Linked DNA regions of Macaca mulatta. The protein of the gene in region 1 interacts with the protein of each later gene in a pairwise test. Links are inferred from orthologs where the notes say so. Each region holds a gene or a part of one and is shown on either strand. Other genes may lie near its edges.

Region 1 (3,500 bases):
TTCACACCATACATGAAAAGAAATTCTCTTTGCAATTACTATTTTAATTACATTATAGAAAGCACAACCACTGAGCAAAGAAAAATAGCTTATAAAATTTGTATGTATATATTTTTAGAGATAGGGTCTTCCTCTGTTGCCTAGGCTGGAGTGCAGTGGTGCGATCATAGCTCACTGCAGCCTTAAACCCCTGGGCTCAAGTGATCCTCCCGCCTCAGCCTCCCAAATAGCTATGGCTACAGGTGTGCACCATTACACCTGGCTAATTTTTAACACTTTTTCTAATGACAGGGGTCTCGATATGTTACAAGCTGTTCTCATATTCATGGCATCAAGCAATCCTTCCACCTTGGCCTCTCAAAAGTGCTGGAATTACAGATGCGAATTACTATGCCTGGACAAAATAACTTTTAAAATCCAAGTCAGAGAAAGTTCTGAGAGGATAAAAAACAAACAAGGGAAAATCTATTCACATCTTCAGTGTTCTAGAGGATCCCTGGCACAGCAAATTACATATTGTTCATTTTATAGTTAAAAATACTTTTCCGAGCCGGGCACGGTGGCTCACGCCTGTAATCCCAACACTTTGGAAGTCCAAGGCAGGAGGATTGTTTGAGCCCAGGAATTTGTGACCAGCCTGGGCAACATGGTGAGAACTCATCCTTACAAAAAATAAAATAAAAATAAACATTTTCTGCTCTATTTTCAATCCTAATTTACAGAGTCTAGAATTCCCTGTAATAAATCAGTTCCTTAAGATTTTTATCCAAGTAATCCTGGCTGTATCGGAGTGACAGTGCAATGCAACACATCAACAAAGGAGAGTGTTCTGTCAGAGGAAGTCATCCCAATGGTAACTCACAAATGTTAAAGTGTTCATCCTTTGGAAGGGATCAAAACCTATTTGGAACAAAAATCAGCCCAACTACCTCCATGACAGCAGAATATCTTCTCATCCACGATGGCTGCTATCGGTAAACAGTTAAAACAGTCTGTGAAAGTTTTCCATAGTTTAATGTTGTATCTTCTTTTACCTGTGATCAAAAAGAGAGTATTACTGTTCCGTAGGCTCATTCTCTCAGGATTAACTTCCCCCAAAGCAAGATTCTGGGTGCTTTTTAAGCAAACGAAACTATGTTTTTATTAAGAATCTTAATAAAACTGTCTTATTTTAACACTCTTTTAAAATAAGAGCTGGGCGTGGTGGGTCAGACCTGTAACCCCAGCACTTCGGGAGGTTGAGGTAGGAGGATCGCTTGAGCCCAGGAGTTCAAGAACAGCTTGGGCAACGTAGTGACACCCCATCTCTTTAAAGAAAGACTCTCCTGGAGGGAAGGGGTTTAGGAGAGACACATCTGATCTAAAAGCAATGACTTACATTTTCACATGAAATCTTTTTAAATTCCACAGAAGTATGAAACCAGAATTCCAGATTTGATAATGATTAAGGATTGCCATCAAATCCCAGGAATTATCTGGTAGCATCAATTCTGTCTGAAATCCAGTATGCTTTGTCCAATCTCAACGCAGCTAGTTCCCTAATTCTTAAGGCGATTACGAACTTACACCATGTGGCATTACGACCTTCCTTCTGAGGAATCCTGAGTTAGCACCCATCCCCCATGTACTCCCCTCAACAACCTACAGATACCAGAGGATCCCCAGGCCTCAGTGCTCTAGCAGGAGGCACAATGATCACACGGCAGTGGTGCCTCTCACAGGCACTACAGGGCATTTGTTTCCAACACTGCACAGACTCCACATGCTCCCACAGGCCTGATGTCACAGGGTGGTCACGTTCTCTCACCAGCACAGGCATCCACACATTCTGGAGTCAGAGTGCAGTTCTGACAGAAATATGCCACTATGCACTGTTTCTACAGGAAACTGATGTTCTGAGTTTAAAACCTACTCACATACCTTGCAAGAACAAATTTCTCTGGATTGGTTGAGGACTGTCCAATTGTCCAGATGCCTTTGTTTCCTGTACCTTACTAAGCACAATCTTTAAAAACCAACAGTTTGGCCAGGCGGGGTAGCTCACATCTGTAATCCCAGCTCTTTGGGAGGTCAAGGCGGGCAGATCATCTGAGGTTGGGAGTTTGAGACCAGCCTGACCAAGATGGAGAAATCCCTTCTTTACTAAAAATACAAAAATTAGCTGGGTGTGGTGGTGCATGCCTGTAATCCCAACTACTTGGGAGGCTGAGGCAGGAGAATCGCTTGAACCCGGGGAGGCGGAGATTGTGGTGAGCCTTGATTGTGCCATTGCACTCCGGCCTGGGCAACAAGAGCGAAACTCCATCTCAAAAAACAAACCAAACCAAACCAAACCAAACCAAACCAAGAGTTTGTCCCTATTAGTCTTTTCCTGGGGACTACAGGGACATGGAAAGGTTTAAACCTGTACCTCTCCTTTGAGAGTTAGGGCCAGCCCAAACAACTGACCTGAACCACACTTCCCACCCTGTAATGCAAATCAAGCAGTCTAGGGAGTTTAGCACAGGGCTTGAAATGTAATGTAAATTCAACAAATGTTTGCCTTCTCTCTGCAGAGAAGAGTGTTATCTTTTCTCCTAGTAATTTCTGGTTTCTCAATGACTGGGTCTAACTCTGTGGGTCACCCTGTTGCGCATTTCTTTAGAGGCTACTAACTCCTTCACTGGAGGGGTTCTGAAAGTTCAACAAACTCCTCCCGCCAGGCTGAGGAGGCTGAGGCAGGAAAACTGCTTGAACCTGGGAGGCAGAGGTTGCAGTAAGCCAAGATCGCACCATTGCACTCCAGCCTGGGCAACAAGAGTGAATGAAACTCCATCTAAAAAAAAAAAAAAAAAAAAAAACCAACAAACTCCTCCTTACGAAAGGCTGATGGGCAATCTGCAAAAACACCACCTCCCATGTCCAACAGCAATACTACTACTAACCACCACCACCACCACAAGATGAGTATCCTTAATCCAAGATGCTCCAAAATTTGAAACTTTTTGAGCACTCACATGATGCTCAAAGGAAATGCTCACTGGAGCATTCCGGATTTCAGATTTTTGGATTAGGGATGTTTAACCAGTAATTATAACACAAATATTCCAAAATTAAAACAAAACAAAACAAAACAAAACACAAAACTCTGAAACCTGCAACACTTCTAGTCCCAAGCATTCCAGGTAAGGAATACTTAACCTGTATTATAAGAACAGGGCTGCTGCCTTAGCCCCCCAGTGATAGTGACTTCCTCTTTCCCCAAGGTCAGCTTCACTTCTGGATATTTTTTTTTTTTTGAGGTGGGGTCTCACTCCGTCACCCAGGTGGAGTAAAGCAATGTGATCTCGGCTCACTGCAACCACAGCCTCCCGAGTTCCAGGGATTCTTCTGCCTCAATCTCCTGAGTAGCTGGGACTACAGGTGTGCACCACCACACCTAATTTTTGTATTTTTAGTAGAGATGGGTTTTCACCATGTTGGTCAGACTGGTCTTGAACTCCTGACCTCAAGTGATCCAC
Region 2 (3,500 bases), on another chromosome or scaffold:
GGTTCCCCACACTCCCTTCCTCCTCTTCCTCCTCCTCCCCGCCGAGGTCAGAGTCACTGAAACTCAGGATCCGTGCCAGGCTGTCGTCATCAACGCCAGGCTGGAAGCCAGGGCCAGGCAGGCCTGGGTGGGTAGGGCCGTCAGGAGCCTCACTAGTGCCTGACGCTGAGGAAGATGCCGTGGAAGAATCAGTCATGTCGCTGCTGCAGCTGTTGTCTCCCAGCTCATTGTTCATGGGGGGCTTGGCCAGTGGGAAAGCAGGGACCAGGGCCTGCTCACCAGGGCTGGGTGGGCTGCCCTGGGCAGGGGCCTCTAGCTCCCTAAAGCTCTCAGCCTCCTGTTCCAACTGCAGGCGGGTGAGTGTGTGGATGAAATGGGTCTGAACTCTCGCCTGATTAAATTCCACACGGCCCATGGGGTTCTCACAGCCCTCCCTGCAGCAGCCACAGGGGAATGCTGTGTGGTCCATCTGCACAGAAAGTAGAGGTACAAGTGAGGATTACCGTGGAGTACAAAGAAGTCCCCATGCTCAGGTTCCCCATCCCAGCCCAGTCCAGCCACCACACCTGACACTTGATGCCTGCTAGGCTGCAGCTGCAGGTCTCAGGGTCGCAGATCCTATCGCAGTGACAGCCACAATCCTCCCGGGATTGGCGCAGTGCCTGCAGCTCCCGCTTCTCCTCCCGATCGATCCTTCGCACGCCCGAAGCCCTCAGCAGAGCTCGACGTCGCCGGGCTGGGTAGGGCTGTAGGAAGCTCACTTCTTCCAACCGGCCACCTGCCACAGCGACTGCCAAGTCCTCCTCCACAGAGGCATCATCAATGGCATCCACCGCAGGTGGTAGCCCTGCCTCTGCCTTGGGTACCCCGGCTGCCGAAAGCTGCATCCACAGGAAAGAGGTATGTGAGAGGTACAGACGTGGACATGGGCTTAGCCCTACTGTCACTAGACAAACCCTCCCCATGTGCTTACCCTCCCACTACTCATGCTTAATCTGTGATGGGCACTGTGTGTAGACAGTGAACAGGACAGCCAAGAATACAGTCCTCAGGGCATTTGGGAAAAAAAAAAAAAAGAGATATCCTACTCATGGCATTCTCTAGATCATGGACAGACTCCCTTTCCTAACCAGACAGATACGCACCCCCCTAATTCATATCAGCTTCACATCCCCCTCTCCAAAAAGTTCAAGTTCAGATTCAGGTATCATGCCCCCAGCCCCTGCAGCAAATAGACACAAGCCCTCCTCTGTGCCTCCTGTTTGCAGACAACCCAGGCAACAGACTCCAATCAAGCCAATCACTAGGCCCACAGGCCTGTTTCCCCATATACATAATGAGCAAGTCAGCACCCACCCCTGGTACACCCACCCCTCGAGGTTAGAACTCCAGGAACTGCCTTAGGAGGTGGGCCACGGAGAGGGCTCTCTCTACCTTCCACTGCAGCATCTCCAACTTCTCCTCTTTCAAGCGCTGGCGGAGCTTCTCGTGCCGTGCACGGGCTTGCTCCTGTGCAAACTCAGCCAAAGAGAAGTGGCGGCAGGCACTGTGGCGAGGGGCCATACCCAGAGTACAGCCACCACGGCTGGGCACACTGGTGAAGCCCTGGCAACGGGGAAAGTAGAAGACGGTGATCCCATCAAAGGCTACACGGCCTGGGCGCTCCCGGCGAGCCCGCTTCAGGATAGACAGGGCTGGAAAGCAGGCAAAGATGCTGGGTATTAGTTTTCAGTGAGGCACAACATACCTCCAGGAAGATCATGCCAGACTGCCCTCCCGCCTCCCGCCTTCCCCCTCCTCCCTCTCCGCCCACTTTGAAAAAAGAAATGTGAATTTAGGAGCCTGTGTGGCTGGGACTGGAGCAGCTGAAACTGAACATCACACCCATGTCAGCACTGGCTTATTGTTATTTTCCAGTTTAAATGACAGTATTTGTAAGATTAAACATCTCTGCTATGTTTATTAGCCATGTACAGGTCCTTTGTACAGTTTTCTATTGTTTTTTATTGATTTGTAGGATTTCTGTGTTCTGCAACAGGCTTAAAAAGGCTTTCCCTTTACAAGTTAATGTTTATTGATTAGTAAGCTACGTACTGGTATTTTCATTAGGTTGAACCATAATAAATTACCATGTAATGGTGAAATATTGGAAATTCCATATATTTCAACTTACTGTATTAATTTTATACCCAGCTACCAGGGGGAATTCCCTTCTAAAAGGTTTTCTGTTTATACTGTTAGATCACATGTGCTAAAAATGATATTCTTTTTATGTGTAATGCACAGATATACATACAGTATATAAAAAGGTAAACAGCACATCTATTGTATTAAAATTTCATGGTGGGGGTGAAAATTAAGGAGAAAATGTCTTAATAGGCTTCCTGGGGAACAATAATGAAAAATAAGGTCCAGAAACACTGCTCTAGGGCCACGTTCGTCAGTCTGGAATCACAATTATGCAAGCTTGAAAATAACCAGGAAAAACCCCTTTTCACTATGTTCAGGCAAAATGGACAGCATTGACAGGAGAGGGACCGGCTTGACAGGCCCCATGGCAGAGAAGCATGGGGCGGGCGGGGAACTCCAGTTCCATTTGTAGGAGGGTAGGGTGCTCATTGGAGAAACGAAACTGGAACAGAAGGGAGGGGCCAGACCGGGAAGGCCCTGAGGGCACTCTGGAGAGCTGCATCCTGGATGTCATTACTCCCAAGGTCAAAGGTGAATTAGCTGGGCTCAGGTGCCCCTGGACAGTGGGCACTGAGTGACCACTGTATCACAGCTCGTGAGAGCTACCTCCATGGGGACGTGACCTCCAGAGGCCAAAGGCATTTTGTCAAGGACCTCTACATTTCATCTTTCAGGAAGGAAGGCAGGTGATGGAATTCCCTGGGGAGGGAGGACTCACGGGTGAAACTTCTGGGGCCACAGAAGTCACGGTCAGGCAGGGGCATCTGATCCCAGGGGCCTTCCTCCTCTGAGTCCCAGGCACGGGAGACAGAAGAGCTTGAGCTTGGGGAGCAGGAGCGAGATTGGCACCCAGAGGAAGAAGAAGAGGAGGAGGAGGAGACCAAGGAGTTGTCCTCATCCAGCTGGTCAAATTTCCTCTTCAACAGCCCAGTCATGGTGGTGCCGGAGGTGCTCTGGGGTCTGGGGACAGACAGCCTGGAGTGGGAATGAGAAAGCTCTAAGTGGCAGGCAGGTGGGCTTCCAGCCAGGGTCATCATCCCTCCCACTGACCCTCCAAGGCATCCCAGAAACTGGCCTCTGCCCTCCAGCCCTGCCTGTGGAGCGCTGTGTGGCGGAGGACGGTCTCCAGGAGGATCTCTGCACAAGACACAGCACCTCCCTCCCTCCAAACTAATGTTCAAATCCATGGCCTGATGTGTCAAACTCCCACCTCTGCCCAAAGCCTTCCCAAGCACTAGGTACCTTCCCCACCACCTCCTACAATACACACACACACACACACACACACGCATCCACACCAACAGGGGAAG
Region 3 (4,185 bases), on another chromosome or scaffold:
GGCACTGAATATTCAAGACACTGAGTTCATTACAGACAAGAGTACAAGGCAGAAAAGTAATAGCACTGTTCATGGTAACTATACATATTAAGGCCTGATCTGACACAAACACTCCTCCCAAAAAAAGCCAAAATACAACTAATTTGTCTCTCTGTAAGGTTAGAAAAACAGTCTAGTAGAGTGAGAACACAAATGTCCTATTTTGGCTCAGACTAACTCTGAGAATGTTTGACAACAAAAGCACTAAAAACTTCAGAGTGGGGTGGGAAAGAGGACAAAATTCTGTCTCTATAATAGAGCAATCTGGGGAAAATAAACTGGGGAGATGGTACAAATTTGATGTAAACCAAGAGAATCATTATTCTACTACTTTATTTCAGCATCCTAAGTGTTTTCTCCAGAAGATATGCCAAGCATCATTTCTTAAAACAACTTGCTTCTGGGGCCGGGCGCGGTGGCTCAAGCCTGTAATCCCAGCACTTTGGGAGGCCGAGACGGGCGGATCACGAGGTCAGGAGATCGAGACCATCCTGGCTGACATGGTGAAACCCCGTCTCTACTTTAAAAATACAAAAAACTAGCCGGGCGAGGTGGCGGGCGCCTATAGTCCCAGCTACTCGGGAGGCTGAGGCAGGAGAATGGCGTGAACCCGGGAGGCGGAGCTTGCAGTGAGCTGAGATCGGGCCACTGCACTCCAACCTGGGCGGCAGAGCGAGACTCTGTCTCAACAAAAAAAAAAAAAAAAAAAAAAAAAAACTTGCTTCTGTTCTTAATTTCTAATGCCAAACTATCGTAAAATTATAATACTGCATCACTATCTTTTGGAAATCTTTTATAGGTAAATTTGAGCGTTTATATTACAAGATTCTCTTTTTTCCTTAATGAATCTAAGGTAAATTAGTAATTGCTTTAGGAAATCATAACTGATTTATTCTGCTTTAGTTTGACCTTCCCTCTTTCAAAGGGGAACTCGTTTATTACTGCTACCCTGTCAATTTGTCTGTTCTGTGGGATAAGAAGGGCTGGCTCTCTCATGAAAAGGTATCACCAAACTTTTTTTTACGTTGGCCATATTCCAAGGCTGTTTGTTTGGAGTGAATGGTAATGACAATGAAATGCAGAAAATTGCTCATTATCTTAAAACAATCTTTAAATAATATGAGAAAAGGATGTCTGGGTAAACTCCTAAAATGGACCAACCGATCCCCAAAAGGGTCTAGGGTCACCTATGTATTATATATGTACCTATAAACATAATTAGGATGCTCCTGGTAAGACAAGATTTCCATCCTTTTTCTGAAACCTCTTAATTCAGGAAGCTGACAGCGATCCCTGGCCCCTAAGTAGTATTTTTAAAAGAAGCTAACTGGTCATAAGGTTTGCAAACATTCAAGCATCAGCCCTTGGAGAGGCCTCTTTTTCATGCTTTCTCTCAAATGGAATTTTTAGTTTAAAATACAGTTTTAAAACAAGACCCTCTGCAACAAAATCTATTTGCAACAGCAACAATTCCCATCTAAGAGGATGGTCAAAGAAACCAAGGGATATATCTGGGAGGTAACTTTTAAGCCACTCCACCACTGTATGTAATCCATACACATCTACAAACGCTGTTTTTTTAGTAATTCACATCTAGCTAATTAAAAAAGCTGAGCTGTCGGCCCTCTGACTCTCGTGGAATCCTTTGGAGTGTTAGCTAGTCATTGTGTGTTGGAATTAGACTAAGCACTGGTTAAAGCCCTGAGGCCTGCTCACTCAGGGCCCTCTAGGTGAAAGATGAGGCTCAGGCAGATGCTTTCTTACCTGTGGAGTCATCGTAGAGGGATCTGGCTCAGGGGCGGCTTGCTGCTGTTCAGCACTCTTGTTTTTGGCCCCACTCTCCAAAGGCTCTTGCTGGACAGTTGTCTTATTTCCAGAGGGGGCGGACGGTGGTGGTGGAGCTAGTAGTTGGGATTTAGAATGGCCCTGGGAGGGGCGGGAAGGAGATGCCTGAGAAGAGGGCAAGTAGGACTGGGAATGGCTCAAATAGGATTGCGAGGAAGAGGAGGAGGATGAGTAAGAAGGGGTGGGCGCCAGGTAGGACTGGGAAGGTGGGGACTGCGAAGGGGACGGCTGAGCAGGAGGCAGATAGGGCTGAGATGAGGACGGGGGGTAGTAAGAGGGTGGCGGCTGAGGTGGGGGCATGTAAGACTGAGATGGTGGCATATAAGACCCGGGCGGCACAGGGGGAGATTCAGGGGGGGATTCCAGCTCCATTGGAACCAAACCAGGAGGCCCGTCTCGTTGGTGGTGGAGCATCTGGTGTTTGTACTGCTGCTGCTTCTGATAGCTGAGGGCCGGCCCAGGTGGCGGGGGCATCGGTGGCGGTGGCGGCTGCCAGTCTCCGTAGCCGCCCCCTGGCATCACCGGCGGGGGCGGCAGGGGGGGCGGAGGAAGGTGGTGGGGCTGAAGCACGCACTGCATTTGCTTCTGGTGCATCTGCTGCAGCTGCTGGAGCTGCGCCAAGTGCTGTTCGCGGAAGCTCATGAAGCCCGAGGAGGAGGGGGCCGCGGGAGTCGTCGAGCTCGAGTACCCGGGCCCCGGCGAGGCCTCAGGAAGCGCCACTGGCGGCGGCGGTGGGACCGGCGGTGGCGGATAGTGGCTGCTCCCGCCATACCGGCCCCAGTTCGGGTACATATCGAAAAAGAAGGCGTAGGGCTCGTCCTGGCACCGTTACTAGTCGCAACCGACCTCCAGGAGCCGCGGCGGCGACGGCGACAGCCGGAACTCGCGGCGCCTACAGGCCCCGGAGCGTGTAAACGGAGCGCGCCAGTGCGCCGGCGCTCGCTAGCTGGGCCCGCGACCGGGAAGGCGGGGACGCGACTTGGGCGACTACGTCTGCGCAGTAACCACCGAGAGGAGAACAAAGGCGAGATAGAGCGGCCCTTTACTTGGAGACTCGTGGTTGCCATCTTCCTTTGGGTTCAGATAATGTAAGCGCGAGTAGAATGTTCTCATATAACTGTAAAACCATAGAGTCTCTCAGCCGAAAGGGGTGGTAGAGATCCTATCGCTCCACGGGTTCATTTTTGAATGGAAAAAAAAAAAAGGTTCCATTCACAATAGCAACAATCGCAACAACAACAACAAAAATAACGTAACTAGGAAAAACTCTTAACAAGAAAGATGTAGGATTTCTATGTAGAAAACTACAGAGTCATAAAGAAGCATATCCACGTAGGATGAAATTAGACTTCAAAAAATGGAGAGGCTTACCATGATCCTGGGTGAAAAGAGGAAAAATTGTAAAGATGTCAGTTTCTCCCAAATTAAATGAATAGACCCAACTCAGGTCTACCCAAAAATTCTACTGGGAACAAAGCTGTGAAGAATGGAAAGGTGTTTTCAAGGCTGCGTGTAAGATTACACCAATTCCTGCAGACATAGTAATAACATCTGCAGGAATTGTAAAAGGCGAGAAATAGAATTTTTTAGACTATCTCAACAACTATAAATCTGTGTTGCAGAATCTCAGAGCGAAAGCGAAGAGAGCAAAAACCAGATACAAAGATGGTCTAGCCGGGCGTGGTGGCTCATGCCTGTAATCCCAGCACTTTGGGAGGCTGAGGCGGGCGGATCACCTGAGGTCGGGAGTTCGAAACCAGCCTGACCAACATGGAGAAACCCTGTCTCTACTAAAAAAATACAAAATTAGCAGGGCATGGTGGTGCATGCCTGTAATCTCAGCTACTTGGGAGGCTGAGGCAGGAGAATCGCTTGAGCTGAGGAAGCGGAGGTTGCTGTGAGCTGAGATCGCGCCATTGCACTCCAGCCTGGGCAACAAGAGTGAAACTCCGTCTCAAAAAAAAAAAAAAAAAAAAAAAAAAAAGATGGTCTAAAGACAACCTGGAAGACAATCTTCCAAAAACTCTCAACATAATACCAAACATAAACTCTTTATTTAGCTTGAGTGAATCACTGAAAACAAAGTTAATACACTGAATTCTGTTGGGTGTGTGTTTGTGGTGGGAGAACTGTGAGAAGATTGTGTCAGTGCATCACTTGAGTAACATGCAAAGAGTTGACCTTTCTTTCATCTTAGCAACCCAGATCTTCACCTCTCTCAGGAGGTGAATGTGAATGGAAAGTGGAGCAGCAAGGCATCCTTCAGAAGGAAGAGCTTCTGTTCTCAAATAGAAATGTAGT
Region 4 (4,178 bases), on another chromosome or scaffold:
CCTGCCTTCCTCCACACTCCCCTCTGCCTGTCACCCTGTGTCTAGACCCCGCCTGGGGGATGAGAGAGTTCTGAGGCTTACCCACTCCCCCAGCTGGGTGCCATTGGCAGCGGGCAGGCAGTGGCATACGGGGTAGGCTCTGGTTGCCGTAGCAACCTGCCAAAGTCTTGGGTGGAGGCACATGGCCTACAGGGTGTGTGGGGGGAGGGGACTCATTTTTCTCTGTCCTGGCTTAGGCCTCTGGGCTGCATAGCCTATGAACCTGGAGCTCTGCTATTGGAGACATGGGAGTGGGTGAGTGTGAAAGGGAAGGAGAGGGCATCTAAAAGATCTGCAAATAAATTCTAGAGCTATTGCATCACAGATGAGCATAAGGGATCATCTCTGGAAGGCCCCTGTCAAAATGCAAAGAGATCGCCCAGTTGCTCACCTGCTGAAACCCCAGAAAAGGCATCAGGAACCCGAGTTCTAGGCTTACTTCTGCCACTGGTAGGCTGTGTGACCTTGGACAAGCCCCTATTGCTCTCTGGGCCTCAGTTTCTTCAATAGTAAATGGCTGTCCCATGAGATCCCTTTGAGCTCTGGGTGGCTATGCTGGGGGGAGAGGGAACACAGATGCCTGGAAGATGCCCAGCTGGGAAAAGGCTGGGAGTTGTATCAAAGTTGACTCCCAGGTTTAGAGTCAATCCTGGCTCTTTGTAGGTACCTGCCAGGGCATGGGTCTCATGTCCCCGGCCAAGATTGAGACTTTGGACAGTTCCTATGGCCCTGATTTAAAATAAGATGGGGGCAGGGGGGAAACTGTAGTGCCTTGGACCCAAGAGGTTAGAGGAGGAAGGGTTGCACAGGGGCATCTGGCATTTGATCTCCAAATTGTACTGTCCAAAGATGTGCAACCCAGACTATGGCCAGCCCAGTCCATGGGCAGAAGCACCACCACCTCAGTCTGCCCAAAGCAATAGTCATTCCCATCTTCTGAGATGGAATTTCCTGACAGGCTCCATGAGGCTGACCCTGGACAGCTCCTGTCCTGGCATCTCTATGCCCACTCCCTACTCCATTCTGAACACAGTGCCTGTCAAACAGCCCCTCCTCCTTGGCTCTCAGGCCAGGCTGCAATGCCACTTTGTCAGCCTGGAGTTGGTACCTACCATCACCCCACCTCTTCAGCCTTCCTAGAGCCCCTAACCTTCCTGCACAGCTAGTCATGGAGAGCTTGAGCCCATAACTCCAGCTCAATCACTCTCCCTGCCGTCTCTGCAGAGGCCCTCGTTACAAGGAGTTGAAATTTGCCTAAAGCCCACCTGGCTGGTATAATGGCACCCAGCGGGCAAATTCAGGCTAGCAGCTCAGAACGCTGGTCATGCATTTTGGACTCGAACGCAGCCCAGGGGGCAGGGCTGAGGACATGTGTACCTCATTACCCCAGCGATGTGAGCAGCAGTAATTAAACCCGGCTCCACTTAGAAAGACAGAGAGGGACACACACATCCCAGCATTTCTCAGTGGTTTTTCAGCCTTGGCAAAAATATTTAGAACAGTGGGATGGAGACATGCATCCCCTTAGGGAAGATTCCTGCCCCTGCCACAATATGCAAGGAACTCTGTTATCCACTACAGCACCCCCAGACCCATTCTTACCCCAGGACAAAGAGGACATAGTTGGCTTAAATTTTTCCAAGATCAAGGGTTCTCAGTATCTGTGTGATTTCTGGGGATATGCTTTGAGCTGGGCCTCAAGCAGTTGGAATCACCTCAGCAGAGCCATCCACACTCTCCCAGGGCCCCTTGTGACCAGGTCAGAGTCTGGGAGACAGATGGTGGGGTCAAGGGTCAGCTTGGGTCCCAGAAGGGTGTCTTCCACTAAGAAGCTGCCGGGGATTCAGTCCTTACTGGCCATCTTGGCAGCCCTTGGTGCTAATCCAGAGCTCCAGGCCCACTGACATGCTGCTCAAGCAACCTCTACAACACCAAGGCCCCTCCAGCCTTGGTATGAGACTTTTAGCAAAGCGGATTTGGGGAAAGGAGAGCAAGGAGAAAGAAGGTCCCCAGTAGAGTGACACATGTGCACACAGCTTTGCACACTCCAACATATTTGTGAGTATGTTTTTGTGCCAAGCCCAGGAAGGCCAGCTTTAGGGTCTGTCTGGTCGCTGCTCATCCCTCACTTACCTCCCTCAGCTCCTTGGCCACCTCCTTGAGCTCGCGAAGGATGCCCTCAAGCTGCCCGATGACCATCTTCATGCGCTGTCGAATCCGCTCCCGCTCACCACCACTGCTGGGGTCGTCACTGGGCTGCCCGAGGTCCGGGGCGCCCCGAATGTTCATCGTTTACCACGTGGCCGCAGGCCTGCCCATACTCCCCCCAGCTGGGCACACGCTGCGTCTGCCTCCACGGAGCCCCCCTCGGCTGGGCAGAGCTCCACATCTTAACGGCCCCCCAGCCCACCCTGGCCCTGGGCGGCCCTCAACCAGCCCCTGCCCCCTGCCACCCCGCCTCCTCTGCCTCTGGGTGGGGAGTGGGACACCCAGAAGAAGACAGAGTCTGGCAGAGGGGGTCAAGGTGAGGACACGGGAGGGCAGGGGGAGGGGCGTTGGGTCCCAGGAGTGGCCTCCAGGTCTTGAAGTGCCTGTGGGTATGCAGAGCTGATCTCTGCCTGAGCTTGAACACAGAGGCAGGGGGATGACTCTGCAGGGACTAAGGGTAAGAGATGCCCTTGGGATGGGGGAAGGCAGCAGGGATCCCCTCACAACTCCTAGGCAGTTGCAAAGGCAGAGGTCTCTGGATGCAACTGACACCTGCAGAGGGATGGTGGCCAGGGTCTTCCAGATGTGGAAGGGGCTCCGGATATGGGCAGCTCTGGGGAGGGAGCTGGATTGGAAGAGGGCAGCCCCCTGCGGAGAGAGTGAGCCTGGCGTCAGCCCTCCTAGGCTGCAGCACCAGCCGGCAATGCCGCTGCCTCCCTCCTCTCGCCAGCCTGCACCCTTCCTCGCTGGAGATTTTTTTTTTCTTTGTGGGGAGGGGTGGTGGAGGCAGATGGTTTACAGCACAGCCCCTCCTCTAGAGGGAAAGGGAGGGAGCCCCTGCTTTAGAAGCAGAAGTCCTCAGCCTGCTACGGGGCACCCTGGCCGTAGCTCCCGCACCCCCCCCATCCCCCCAGCCAGGCCTGCCCAGGCTGGTTCACCAGAGGGCCTCTCCAGTCACCCATCCTCCCTCCTAGCGCCCTCAGGGTGCCCTCGTTCCCAGTGGACCCTCCCTCCCCCAGCCCCGCCTTCCCTCAGAACCCCCACTCCTGGACTCACCGAGGGTGGGGGCACCGGCCTTCCCTCCAAGCAGCGTCGGGGGCCAAGCCCCAAGACGGGGTTGGGGGGCCCCCAAGGCTCCCTAGGGCGGGCTTCTCTCTCTGGACCCTTCGGCCCCTGGCCTCAGGGAGGTCCTCCGAGCCGTGACCGGAGACATCTGGGCGGTGAGGGGGGGCGGGGCCTCCGCACTCCAGGGAAGGGGGCAGTAAAAATCTTTCTCAAGCCTCTCCAGGCTCGGGGTCGGGAACGAGCGAGGGTTCGGCGGATTCGGGGCTCTGAGGCCACAGGTGACCGGGGCGCGGGGAGGCCGAGGAGACGCCGGGCCGGTCCCAGCGCGTGAGCCAAAGTCGGAGGGCTGGGAGGGCGCCGGGATCCCCTCAGCCCACGTCCGGCATTCCCCGGGCTCTGCACTGTCCGGGATTCGCTCTGTCCAGTCCAGATTGCCCGGATCCGGGCTCCGCCGGGGTCTGCCCTGCCCTACCCAGCCCGGAGTGAGCTGGCACCGCCGGGCGCCCGGGACGCGCTTAGCCCGGACCCAGAACGTCCGCGCCCCGGCACCCGCGGCGTCCGGAGCGGCCGCGAAGGTCCGCTCAGCCCAGCCCCGCGGTTGGCCCTGGGCGAGATCGCTCCAACGGCTCAGTTCACGTTCCGAAAGGTCCGGAATCCACCGGGTCCCCGAGGAGGGGCGGTGTCAGCCGCGGGGACCCAGTCCTCGCCGGGCCCAGCCGAGAGCGCGCGAAGCCGGGGGCCCTGGCCGGGCTGGGTTCGGCGGCCCGGGCGCAGGCGGGAGCAGCGCCGGTAGGAGGAGAGGAGAGGAGGCGAGAAGAGGCGAGGGGAGGAGGCGCGGCGAGGGGAAGTGAGGGGAGGGGGCGCGC
Region 5 (4,116 bases), on another chromosome or scaffold:
CTTAGACAAAGCGGTCGCCGCCCCCGCCCGGCCCCCTGGTCTCTGTCTCCGTCCCACCTCCTTTGCTGCCTCTTTCCCTCCTCCTCTCCTTCCCTCCTCTCCTTCCCTCCTCTCCTTCCCTCCTCCCCTCCCTCTAGTCTCCGGATCTCCCTCGGTCCCTCTCTCCTCCTCTTCCTCTCTCCGGACGCCCGGCTCCTCGGCACCCCCTCCCGCGGGGGTCCTGCGGCGTGTGAGTTGACTGAGGGGCTCAGACTTGGGGAGTGGGTGTCTCCTCGCTCCGGTCCTTGCTCCCATCCCTGGCCCGGATCTTGGCTGTCTCCTCTTTGTGCCGAGATTGTCAGTCTGTGCGTCCAGAGCGGGGTGGAGACTGCCGGCTCTGTCACGGCTCCATGAGAGCGGGGACGGGGCACAGGACTTGCAGGCGCCGGGGAGAAGAGACATGGAGCCGGCCCTCGGCACTCTGGGGTCGCGTGGCGCAGCCGGTGGGGGAGGCAGGCGGTGGTGACGGGACAGGGTGGGGGTGGACGCCAGGGTTCTGGGAACGCGCTGGCAGCCCTGACGCCCGGGTTCCGAAAGTCCCGGGGGTGGGTATTTCCCCCGACCCGCCTCGGGGGCGGAGTGCGGGGCAGAGGGGTGGGGGCTGGGGAGAGGCGTGGCCCGAGCGGTGCTGGAAGGGGAGCCGGGACCTTTGGGGCCCGCGCTGAGACGCGCCGGGTTGCTGCCGCCGCGCTCCTTTCCCCTCTTCCTTGGTTTCCCTTCTCCCCTAGACCTCTTCGCTTTCCGCTCCTCCTTGCCTCCCCAACACCCCCTCAGGTCCCGTTGCCTCCTGGTCCTTCCAGGGATTCCTGGTCCTTCCTTCCCACACTAGTCTCCCTGGGGTATCGCTGAGGCAGTCTGGCCTGCACCCAGATTCCCCTCACCCCAGCCTCATTTCTCTCTTCTCCCTCACACCAACTTTCCTTTTCGCCCTTCTCTCTCTGTCTCACATCCTAGAGACTGTCTTTAATACGCATTAACCCTGACTGCCACATCTGGCTCCTGCCCTCATTGCCTCCAATCTGGACTCTTCCTCTCACATCACCCCCACCACCCCCAACTTGGGCTCACAACTTCTCTTCACTTTTTCCATTTCCCCAGTTCTCTGCCTTCCCTCTTTCCCTCTGTCCTCATCCTTAGCCCCCCTGCCCTGCTTTGTGTCCCACCTCTCCCCCTCCACTTCCTCTCCTCCCACCCTCAGTCTCCCCCCTGGGCCTCTCTGGAGCCTCTCCTTCCTGTTCTCTGCCCCCAGTGCTCCCTACCCTCACCTCAAGGCGACCATGGCCACCATCCCAGACTGGAAGCTACAGCTGCTAGCCAGGCGCCGGCAGGAGGAGGCGTCCGTTCGAGGCCGGGAGAAAGCAGAACGGGAACGCCTGTCCCAGATGCCAGCCTGGAAGCGAGGGCTCCTGGAGCGCCGCCGGGCCAAGCTTGGGCTGTCCCCTGGGGAGCCTAGCCCTGTGCCGGGGACTGCAGAGGCTGGCCCTCCAGACCCAGATGAGTCTTCGGTCCTTCTGGAGGCTATTGGGCCAGTGCACCAGAACCGATTCATCCGGCAGGAGCGGCAGCAGCAGCAGCAGCAGCAACAAAGGAGTGAAGAGCTGCTAGCAGAGAGAAAGCCTGTGCCTCTGGAGGCCCGGGAGCGGAGACCCAGCCCTGGGGAGATGCGGGATCAGAGCCCCAAGGGAAGAGAGTCAAGAGAAGAGAGACTAAGTCCCAGGGAGACCAGAGAGAGGAGACTGGGGATAGGGGGAGCCCAAGAGTCCAGCCTGAGGCCTCTGGAGGCTCGGGACTGGAGGCAAAGCCCAGGAGAGGTGGGAGACAGGAGCTCCCGACTGTCAGAGCCATGGAAATGGAGGCTGAGTCCTGGAGAAACTCCAGAGCGGAGTCTGAGACTAGCAGAGTCTCGAGAGCAAAGCCCCAGGAGAAAAGAGGTGGAAAGTAGACTGAGCCCAGGGGAATCTGCCTACCAGAAGTTGGGCCTGACAGAGGCCCATAAATGGAGACCTGACTCCAGAGAGTCTCAGGAACAGAGTTTGGTACAACTGGAGGCAACAGAGTGGAGGCTGAGGTCAGGAGAAGAAAGACAAGGCTACTCGGAAAAATGTGGCAGAAAAGAAGAGTGGCCAGTTCCAGGGGTGGCTCCGGAAGAGACTACAGAGCTGTCCGAGACCCTGACAAGGGAGGCCCAAGGCAGCAGTTCCACAGGAATGGAGGCAGCAGAGCAGAGGCCTGTGGAAGATGGCGAGAGGGGCATGAAGCCAGCAGAAGGGTGGAAATGGACCCTGAACTCCGGGAAGGCTCGAGAATGGACACCCAGGGACATAGAGGCTCAAACTCAGAAACCAGAACCTTCAGAGTCAGCAGAGAAGCGTCTGGAATCTCCTAGTGTGGAGGCTGGAGAAGGGGAGGCTGAGAAGGAGGAGGCGGGAGCTCAGGGCAGGCCTCTGAGAGCCCTGCAAAACTGCTGCTCTGTGCCCTCCCCCCTCCCACCAGAGGACGCTGGGACTGGAGGCCTGAGACAGCAGGAAGAGGAAGCAGTGGAACTCCAGCCCCCACCACCAGCCCCTCTGTCTCCCCCACCCCCAGCCCCAACTGCCCCCCAACCTCCTGGGGATCCCCTCATGAGCCGCCTGTTCTATGGGGTGAAGGCAGGGCCAGGGGTGGGGGCCCCCCGCCGCAGTGGACACACCTTCACCGTCAACCCCCGGCGGTCTGTGCCCCCTACGACCCCAGCCACCCCAACCTCTCCAGCCACAGCTGATGCTGCAGTCCCAGGAGCTGGGAAGAAGCGGTACCCAACTGCCGAGGAGATCTTGGTTCTGGGGGGCTACCTCCGTCTCAGCCGCAGCTGCCTTGCCAAGGGGTCCCCCGAAAGACACCACAAACAGGTAGGGAAGCAGCCAAGCCAGACTTCTTAGAAGCCCACTTGTCAATTCTCTTTGGACTCTGGTCTTTATTTCTTTTTTATACCCCTGTTTTCTTGTCTTCCTCTCTTCTTTCTTGTTAATTCCTGCCACCACCCTTCCTCGCTCTGCACATACACCCTTCCTTCTCAGAGCCCTCCTGTTCCATTTTGAGCCCAAAAGATCCTGCCCCAGCAAAGGCCGTCTCTGGGTGTGTCTCTTTCAGGGTGTGCCCGGCTGCTCATTCTCCCTTCCCTTGGGCTCTGAATTTTCAGCCCCCTTTTCTTTCCTTCCTTTCCTGAGTGTGACCCGCCCCAGCCCATCCAGTGGGAAAGCCCAAACTGACAAGCTTGAATCAGTGAGGGCAGCGTCACGAGGGTGAAAGCACTTGCAGTTTTTCTGCGGAGAAGGGATAGGGAGCCTGGGGTGGCGGAGGGGGTGCGTTTGTGTTCTAGGGAGAAACTGTAGGGAGAAGTGAATGGAGGAAGGTCCAACTGCCCCATGGGAAAGAGGGCAGAGCTGAATAGGGACATCTTAGGATGGAGGGGAGAGGGGAGATGGAACTGGGCCGGCCAAAGAGCAGAGAGAAGGCTTTTGAACCCTGAGTCTGCCCCATGGGAGAGACACAGAGAGGCCATTTGAAGTGGGTGACCTCGGGGTTGCACACCCCCAGCTGGGCCACTGCTTCAGACAGTGCTCCCTTCTCTCTTGGGACAAGAAAAGCCTTCTCCTCTTCCAAAATACTCCCGCCCCTCACTCCCCCGTCCTTCCTCCCTGGGTTTCCCCTCCCTCCCAAGAACTGGCTTAGGGTTCGGTTTTCCCCTCTCTTCCTGCCATCCTGGACTCTCCCTCCCCTTAGGGTAGTGAAAGAGAGAAGTGAATTTGGAGACAGTTTTGAGAGCAGGCACTGGCCAGGGAGCACAGTGGGAGTTCTGGATAGGGGTCAGGGCTGAGGCCAGCAGAGGGTCAGAGGTTAGACTTGCAACAAAGACCTGCAGGAAAGTGGGGGCAGCTAGGCTAACTCCCCCTGGCCCTGGCCTCATTTCTTCCCTGTGCACGCCCACCTGTTTCCAGCTTGAAAATCTCTGGCGAGAGAGAGGTCCCACCTCAGACATCTCAGACTTAGGAAGTCCCTCCAGTCACACACATCTCCCCAGAGCCTGGGATGCCCAGT
Region 6 (3,984 bases), on another chromosome or scaffold:
GCCAAGAATAAAAACAATTGAGACAGCAGTGTCAGGAATGTAGCAGTGTCAGAAATATTTCAAACTCCAACTAATTTCACATAAACATATATTTTTCTCTGACCTAAATCATGAATCTTATGTAAAAGACTAAAACTAATCAAGACACCTTACAGTACTAAATAAACAGTAATCACGAATCGTAGACATCACGGAAATTCAGAGCTGTAAATTTCCCTACCAATCTTCCAGCTCAACTTACACATCACTCAGAGGAAGAAACTGAGGCCCAGTCTTGTAAAATATCCACAACCACAAACGACTGCAGAACTCAGGAAATCTAGGATTCTTTGTTCATCTATACTGGCTCTGATTTTATGAGCAAATTACTGTCAACCATAAATTTAAAATTATAAAATTCTGTCACATCTAACAATAGCTTTCTGGCAGCCAGATCAGAAGTAAACACTTCATAACATAGCACCGTTCACACAAATTAAAACATAAAAGTAGAAATATTTCACAAGGAAATTAACAAAATGTCCTAACTTAAGATAAAACAAAGATTTGATATTGTGAATGAAATGTTTAGACGTTTAGATTAAGGAAGATAACACTTAGAAGTACTTCTTTGGATGTATGCAAGAATTAAAAAATGTTCAAGGCCTATTTTTGTGCGTGATTCTTTGCAGCCAAATCATTTGGTAGATTTGTATTGCCATTCGCCTTTCTGGTTAAATAGTAACTTACTTATCAAGCTTCTTCTTAAATTTTAGTCCCATATAAGAATTTAACCACAAGGTTGTTTATCCCCTCTACATACATGTCACTAGGATCTGAGCAGACCCCTTTGTAGCCAATCAAAGTGAGGCTGCCGTGAATGTAAAAAGCTCCTGCTTTAGATTTGGGGCCTAAAACCCTGGATTTGTTTCCAGACAGACTGATACGTTAGATTGATTTTTTTTTTTCTTCCACACAAGTAAACTTGATACACGCTATTAAATTGGGCCACATTTCAATAGTTCCCATAGCAATTCATAATTTTATATACAACTGATTTGCTTCAAGCTTTGTTTTAACCTAGGAGAGGTAGGTGAGGAAGGAAGGGGGCAAGCACAAACCTAAGGTTGTTGTTTTTAACTGCAGGTGGAAAACATAAGCCAATTTTCTTCAAAATACTAAGCTGCATTTTGTTCCATCTTCGTTTTCAACAAGGCTTCATATAACATCAACACCTAAGGACCTGTATAGAGTACTTCCAATCGGGAGAGGTAGGTTTCTGCTCCCCTAAGAAAAATGGTGCTCCTGGGGTTCCCTTCTCTTACCCTCCCGGTTGCTTTCACTAAGATATACTGATGGCAAACTTGGGTCCCTTGTCCTTTAGTCCCCCTAGACAATCTCTGGCCTAATTTTGATTACTCCTCCCCCTGCGTATCCCTGCTCTCTCTTAATTAGAAATCATACCTCAGAATCGTGCCTCTCTTCCCTCCTTGTAAGAGGAGAACGCCTGACCCACCACCTGGAGAACAATGTAACCCAACTCCGAGTCCATGGATTCCTCTACCCAAGCCCCAAGATTTATCTCCCAGGGAAATCAGAAAGCCAGTTCTGTCCTGTCATCCCGGATTCCCTCAAGGTGTCCTGCTCCTGGCCTAAGATTACCAGCTCCTTCCTACCCTGGAGCATTCTACTCACCCTCCTCTTCCAAGAATCTCGCCCCTCACCCTCGGATCCTTCACCGCGACCCCCGCGCCCACCCGGAGCAGCACAACAAGCGGCGAGTGGCCTCCGAGGGCAGAGCCCGCGAGGGCGGGGGTCGGGGGAGGTCGGGGGCGGGTCGAGAGCGGCGCAGCGGTGGCCGGCCACGTCGGGTCAGTGCCCCACTCCCACGGCAGGACACAAGCCCAGTACCTTTGTAGTGCACCCGCAGGTTGTTCTGAGAGAGGCCGATGTAGCTGAACTTGTCCTTCGGGCTCCAGGACCGAGGCAGCGGCGTCTCCTGCTCGTCCACGGCTGGGTAGAGGCGCTTCAGCCGCCGCTGCAGCTCCTTCTCCTGCTCGTTCAGGGTCGAGTCCCCGTGCGGGAAGGGGGCCGCGGCGCTGCTGCCCGCCACCAGAGCTGGGGCCGGGGCGCCTCCGGCCGGGCCGGGGCCCGCGGCGAGGCCCGGAGGCGCTGGGGGCCCGCTGGCGGGGGCGGCCGCTGAGGCAGGTGGCGGCGGGGGCGGCGGCGGGGGCGGCGGGGCCGCGGTGGCCGGGGGCGGCGGCGGCGGGGGGTGGAGGAGCAGGGCGGCCGCCGCGGCCCCTAAGCCGTCGCCGCCCGCGCCGCCGCCGGGCGAGCCGGCTGGAGAGGAGCCGGCGCTGACGGCCGGGGGCGCCGGCAGGACGACTCCGGACACTGGAGCCAAGGCCGCCGGCGGTGGCGGCGACAACTGCTGCTGCTGTTGTTGCTGCTGCTGCTGCGGCGGCGGCGGCGGCGGCGGCTGCCCGGACATCCCGGCCGCGACTCAGCCTGCGGCCACCTCCACCTCTTCTCTCCTTCCTCCTCTGCTTCCCGGGGGCGCTGTCGCTGCGGCCGCCGGCACCAGGCGCCCAGTCCGCCCGCCCCGGAAGCAGGCGGCGGGCCGCGCGCCCAGGGAGACCGCGGCGGTTGAGGGGCTCGGAGACGCGGGAGTGGGCGGCGGGCCCGGGAGGCCGGGAGAGAACGTTGGCCGGAGCGCGGGCGCGCGGCCCGGGGACGAGGTGCCGAGGGCGGGGGCGACGCGGTAGCGCGGGAGGGGAAGGCGCGCTGGCGGCCGCCGCGGCCGCTGCTCTCGCGGCTGTTTCCCGGCGGGCGGGCCCGGCCGGCGCGAGACGCTGCGCGCGGGCGGTGCTAGGCGAGGGGGCGGGACGGAGGCGCGAGAGAGGCGCGAGCTGCGCGAGGGGCGGGCCGCGGGGCTCCCGGCTGCACGCCGCGAGGCGCCCTCCCGGACCCGCCAGTCGCTCGTGGGCAGGATCGCTGGGCTCCCGGCGCCGCAGGTCCCTTCGGAGATGTCCGCCTCCTCCCGCTAGGCGGCCGCCGTCTCCCCCCTCGCCGGCGAATCCCCTCCCACTTGACTTCTTTTTGTTGTCGTCGCCCCACCTCCCCACCGTAGGGCTCCTCCGAGCCGAGACGCCGCTTCTCGCCCAGGCGAGAGTAATCGAGCCCCGCTGGGGCCGCCGCGAGCCCGGGCCCCGGGTCGCTCTAGGACCCGTCGGCTCGGGGCGTGCGGAGCGGCTGAGGCTCCCCGCGCACTGCCGCTAGCTCTCTTCTCAGTCCGGTTCCCGTTTGCCGCCTCCCTCCAAAGAGGAACGCACTGCCTTTGGTACTTCACAGTGTTTAATTTCGTAACATTGACCATATGGGCAGGGGAAACCACTTCTGAAGGCAGTCTCCCAGTTAAAATAGTGGCTATTTCATTAATTAATTTTACGAGGACTCACAGTGAACTTAGTGGTAGAAGGTGTCATTAATAAAAACCGGCATATCTTCAAATACCAGGAGCAGGCACTGTATGAATACACAATTATAGTGTGTGTTTAGGAAGGGCTTCTAGAGACGTCAGAACATTTTATAGACTCGTTAATTTTCATAACTGTTCTTAGGTAACAGAAAATTATGCCCATTTTTAAAACAAGGAAATATTTACTGAGGTCAGCAGAGTCAAAAATAGGACTTCCTACTTTGCAATTCCCAATAGAGTGCTTCGTCGACTAATTTGGCACAACTTGCCAAGTGTTGCTCTCTGACCCATCATAACATTACTACTTTGTTTTCACCACTTCCCTTTGTTTAGCGTATCCCTCCCTAGCTGGCAAAATCGGGCTTTGCATGTGTAAATTATATGATGTAAATTCTGATATTTTGTTTGCTTCCAAAGATACGATGGTAATCATTTGGTCAAATAAATGTTTTGCCGAAGAGAAAATTATTTCGTTTTGAAGAAGGTAGGCCAAAGGTGATTTAATTTAAGGCCAACATTATCTGGCC
Region 7 (3,500 bases), on another chromosome or scaffold:
TGGACACATTTCCACAGAAATTATAGAAAGTGGGTTCAGAGTATGATGGTTTTATCACATAAATTTATAGTATTCCTTAAATTCTGTGACATTTAATCCATCCAAAACCTAAACATGAGGCTGGGTGTGGTAGCTCATGCCTGTAATCCCAACACTTTGGGAGGTTGAAGCAGGCAGATCACTAGAGGTCAGCAGCTCAAGACCAGCCTGGCTAACATGGTGAAACCCCATCTCTACTAAAAGTACAGAAATCAGCTGGGCATGATGGCGCATGCATACAAGTCCTAGCTACTCAGGAGGCTGAGGCACAAAAATGACCTGAATGTGGGAGGCGGAGGCTGCAGTGAGCTGAGATCATGCCACTGCACTCCAACCTGGGCAACAGAGGGAGACTTCATCTCAAAAAACACAAAAACAAAACAAAACACAAAAACCCAGAAAGGCTGGGCACGGTGGCTCAAGCCTGTAATCCCAGCACTTAGGGAGGCCAAGGCAGGTGGATCATGAGATCAGGAGTTCAAGAGCAGCCTGACCAATATGGTGAAACTCCATCTATACTAAAACTACAAAAATTAGCTGGGCGTGTAAAAATACAAAAATTAACCAGGTGTAGTGGTGCGCACCTGCAGTCCTAGCTATTTCGGAGGCTGAGGCAGGAGAATTGCTTGAACCTGGGAGGCAGAGGTTGCAGTGAACCAAGATTGCACCACTGTACTCCAGCCTGGACAACAGAGAAAGACTCCATCTCAAAAACAAAACAAAACAAAAAACAGAAAAAAAAACCCAAACCCTAAACATGAAAATATAACTTGTGCATTTCAGCCTTTATTATGTAAAATTATGAGTATACAAAGCTGTTCCAAAATCTGCTAAAAGCGAAAAATAAGTATTGTTAAAAGAGTAGAATTTCATTATTGTATACAGCCTGTATTGCTGCTAGAACTGAGAGCTTGTTAAGACTCATCAATCTCTGGTTTGCTCCCGCCAGTATTTACATTCTACACCTAGCCCATGTGCTGCCAGTCCAAGCAAATAGAAATTACTAACCTAGTAATCATAGCTGTACTTTATTAGTGAAATCACAAACAACCTAAATGTTTACCTGAAGAACTAAACATTTTTGTCAAGAAAAACATAGCCAATACGCTTCAGATTATTTCACTAACAGAGCTTTATCTACTTACTTTGCATCCTAGTTCTTATTCTTGCAGTCTGGGGGGCCCATTCCTCAAGAGTTCTTTGATATCCTGAGCCTGAAGCAAATACATATATCAAAAGATAATTTCCCATACTTTGAAAGTTTATACCATATTCCAGTGCTATAAAATTAATCTATCAGAAAGACAAAATAAAAGAGGGGAAGAAAACAATAAAAGCAATAGTTTTATAAGTAAAAAATAATTTCAAAGGATCCTATCAGTGAGGATGAACCACTTCCTATAGCAAAGCAGGTAGCAAATAAATATATTATCACTCAGTATAAATTACTTGTGGTAAAATAGCCCTGAACACATTTCCACATCACAGAGTAATTATTACAGGTAGTACCAATCCGTGGTGAATTAAAAAGGTAAAGAGGGGTAAAATGACTTGAAATTTTATTACGACTTTTGTTAGGAGAATAAGGCAAGGTTAGAATTGATTGACTGAGGCTAGGCACGATGGTTTATGCCTGTAATCCCAGCACTTTGGCAGGCCGAGGTGGGCGGATCACGAGGTCAGGAGATCGAGACCATCCTGGCTGACATGGTGAAACCCCGTCTCTACTAAAAAAATACAAAAAACTAGCCGGGCGAGGTGGCGGGCGCCTGTAGTCCCAGCTACTCAGGAGGCTGAGGCAGGAGAATGGCGTGAACCCGGGAGGCAGAGCTTGCAGTGAGCCGAGATCTGGCCACTGCACTCCAGCCTGGGCGGCAGAGCGAGACTCCGTCTCAAAAAAAAAAAAAAAAAAAAAAAAAAAATTTAAAAAATTAGCCGGGCATGGTGGCGGGCGCCTGTAGTCCCAGCTACTCAGCAGGCTGAGGCAGGAGAATGGCGTGAACCCGGGAGGCGGAGCTTGCAGTGAGCCAAGATAGCACCACTGCACTCCAGCCTGGGCCACAGAGTAAGACCCTGCGTCAAAAAAAAAAAAAAAAAAAAAAATTGATTGACTGAAAAAAGAGCAGGCAACCAACTACTTACTCAGCACTGAAGGTTGCTTATCATGAGCTGTGAAGTTGCGACCTGAAACAGAAAACAGGGATGAGGTCATAGAATACTTGAAAATAACAACAAAAAACATGCTGCATAGACATTTTGCTTGTTTACTGTGGATACTAAAACAAACAACAAACAAAAAACATCAGTTCCAAGCATGTAAGTATATAAGTGTGTATATATATATATAAAAACCATGCATATACTATATATATATATATATAAAAGTGTATTTCTTTTCCCCTCATTTCTAAACTTCAAAATGTTTAGGAATTGGACAACAAGAAGGAGTCAGTTTTAGGATCAGTACCATCAAAACAATGATTACGTACAGTCAATGTGTATCAGCTATTGAGTATAATTTTGTTTAATTCTTGTTTTTTGAGACAGGGTCTGACTCTGTCACCCAGGCTGGAGTGCAGTGGTGCAATCTCAGCTCACTGCAACCCTCGCTTCCCGGGTTCAAGATATTCTCCTGCCTCAGCTTCCCAAATACTTGGGATGACAGGTGTGCACCACCACGCAAGACTAAATGTTTTGTATTTTTAGTAGAGACAGGGTTTCACCATGTTTGCCAGGGTGGTCTCAAACTCTTGACCTCAAATGATTTGCCTGCCTCGCCCTCCCAAAGTGCTGGGATTACAGGCATGAGCCACCGTGCCCAGCCAATTTTGCTTAATTCTTGTGTGGCAGATGCTATTGTTGTTCCCATTTTATAAATAAGGGAAAACCAGCCGGATGTGGTGGCTCATACCTGTAATCCCAGCACTTTGGGAGGCCAAGGTGGGCAGATCACAAGGTCGAGATCAAGACCATCCTGGCTAACATGGTGAAACCCTGTCTCTACTAAAAATACAAAAAAAAATTAGCCCGGCATGGTGGCGGGTGCCTGTAGTCCCAGCTACTCGGGAGGCTGAGGCAGGCAGGAATGTCGTGAACCCGGGAGGCGGAGCTTGCTGTGAGCCAAGATTGCGCCACTGCACTACAGCCTGGGCGACAGAGCGAGACTCTATGTCGAAAAAAAAAAGGGAAAACCAAAATTGGTAATTTTTCCAAAATTATATATCTAAAAGTAGTGGGGCCGATACACAAATCCAGGCAGTCCATATCATATACCACATACCATACCATAGAGAAATGGTATATACTATCTATGCAGATTTATGGACATTGCAAAGTAGCTATGAAGTAAAACATGCTACTTCAGGTTTTGAGGAGGTATTTAAGGATAACTGTAAAATGACACAATGGGATGACTAACAAATGGCACCTTTTAACAAGGTGAATTTTCAGATCTGCCCTGA

Evidence for each region.
Region 2: the proteins of PPP1CC (region 1) and CSRNP1 interact in binary tests that used the Homo sapiens proteins (3 or more experiments, as listed by UniProt). The link is inferred for Macaca mulatta from reciprocal best matches to the Homo sapiens genes PPP1CC and CSRNP1.
Region 3: the proteins of PPP1CC (region 1) and YLPM1 interact in a two-hybrid assay, tested with the Homo sapiens proteins (2 studies listed by BioGRID and IntAct). The link is inferred for Macaca mulatta from reciprocal best matches to the Homo sapiens genes PPP1CC and YLPM1.
Region 4: the proteins of PPP1CC (region 1) and INSYN1 interact in a two-hybrid assay, tested with the Homo sapiens proteins (2 studies listed by BioGRID and IntAct). The link is inferred for Macaca mulatta from reciprocal best matches to the Homo sapiens genes PPP1CC and INSYN1.
Region 5: the proteins of PPP1CC (region 1) and PPP1R18 interact in a two-hybrid assay, tested with the Homo sapiens proteins (2 studies listed by BioGRID and IntAct). The link is inferred for Macaca mulatta from reciprocal best matches to the Homo sapiens genes PPP1CC and PPP1R18.
Region 6: the proteins of PPP1CC (region 1) and RANBP9 interact in binary tests that used the Homo sapiens proteins (3 or more experiments, as listed by UniProt). The link is inferred for Macaca mulatta from reciprocal best matches to the Homo sapiens genes PPP1CC and RANBP9.
Region 7: the proteins of PPP1CC (region 1) and TOR1AIP1 interact in binary tests that used the Homo sapiens proteins (3 or more experiments, as listed by UniProt). The link is inferred for Macaca mulatta from reciprocal best matches to the Homo sapiens genes PPP1CC and TOR1AIP1.

Annotation. Positions count from the first base shown.
Region 1 is NC_133416.1:117,905,047-117,908,546, forward strand, and holds part of PPP1CC (serine/threonine-protein phosphatase PP1-gamma catalytic subunit), read right to left. Parts: intron 1,035-3,500; coding exon 930-1,034; intron 1-929. UniProt on the Homo sapiens protein: Protein phosphatase that associates with over 200 regulatory proteins to form highly specific holoenzymes which dephosphorylate hundreds of biological targets.
Region 2 is NC_133407.1:101,446,837-101,450,336, forward strand, and holds part of CSRNP1 (cysteine/serine-rich nuclear protein 1), read right to left. Parts: intron 3,166-3,500; coding exon of another isoform or gene 3,126-3,165; coding exon 2,909-3,125; intron 2,320-2,908; exon of another isoform or gene 1,695-2,319; coding exon 1,435-1,694; exon of another isoform or gene 1,269-1,434; intron 901-1,268; exon of another isoform or gene 882-900; coding exon 567-881; exon of another isoform or gene 470-566; coding exon 1-469. UniProt on the Homo sapiens protein: Binds to the consensus sequence 5'-AGAGTG-3' and has transcriptional activator activity. May have a tumor-suppressor function. May play a role in apoptosis.
Region 3 is NC_133412.1:147,955,492-147,959,676, reverse strand, and holds the start of YLPM1 (YLP motif-containing protein 1), read right to left. Parts: upstream 2,801-4,185; 5' UTR 2,677-2,800; coding exon 1,804-2,676; intron 1-1,803. UniProt on the Homo sapiens protein: Plays a role in the reduction of telomerase activity during differentiation of embryonic stem cells by binding to the core promoter of TERT and controlling its down-regulation.
Region 4 is NC_133412.1:51,481,282-51,485,459, forward strand, and holds the start of INSYN1 (inhibitory synaptic factor 1), read right to left. Parts: upstream 2,801-4,178; 5' UTR 2,329-2,800; coding exon 2,173-2,328; intron 1-2,172. UniProt on the Homo sapiens protein: Component of the protein machinery at the inhibitory synapses, probably acting as a scaffold. Inhibitory synapses dampen neuronal activity through postsynaptic hyperpolarization.
Region 5 is NC_133409.1:152,359,452-152,363,567, forward strand, and holds the start of PPP1R18 (phostensin), read left to right. Parts: upstream 1-1,316; coding exon 1,317-2,927; intron 2,928-4,116.
Region 6 is NC_133409.1:169,401,130-169,405,113, reverse strand, and holds the start of RANBP9 (ran-binding protein 9), read right to left. Parts: upstream 2,801-3,984; 5' UTR 2,471-2,800; coding exon 1,891-2,470; intron 1-1,890. UniProt on the Homo sapiens protein: May act as scaffolding protein, and as adapter protein to couple membrane receptors to intracellular signaling pathways. Acts as a mediator of cell spreading and actin cytoskeleton rearrangement.
Region 7 is NC_133406.1:37,313,566-37,317,065, reverse strand, and holds part of TOR1AIP1 (torsin-1A-interacting protein 1), read right to left. Parts: intron 2,224-3,500; coding exon 2,182-2,223; intron 1,254-2,181; coding exon 1,185-1,253; intron 1-1,184. UniProt on the Homo sapiens protein: Required for nuclear membrane integrity. Induces TOR1A and TOR1B ATPase activity and is required for their location on the nuclear membrane. Binds to A- and B-type lamins. Possible role in membrane attachment and assembly of the nuclear lamina.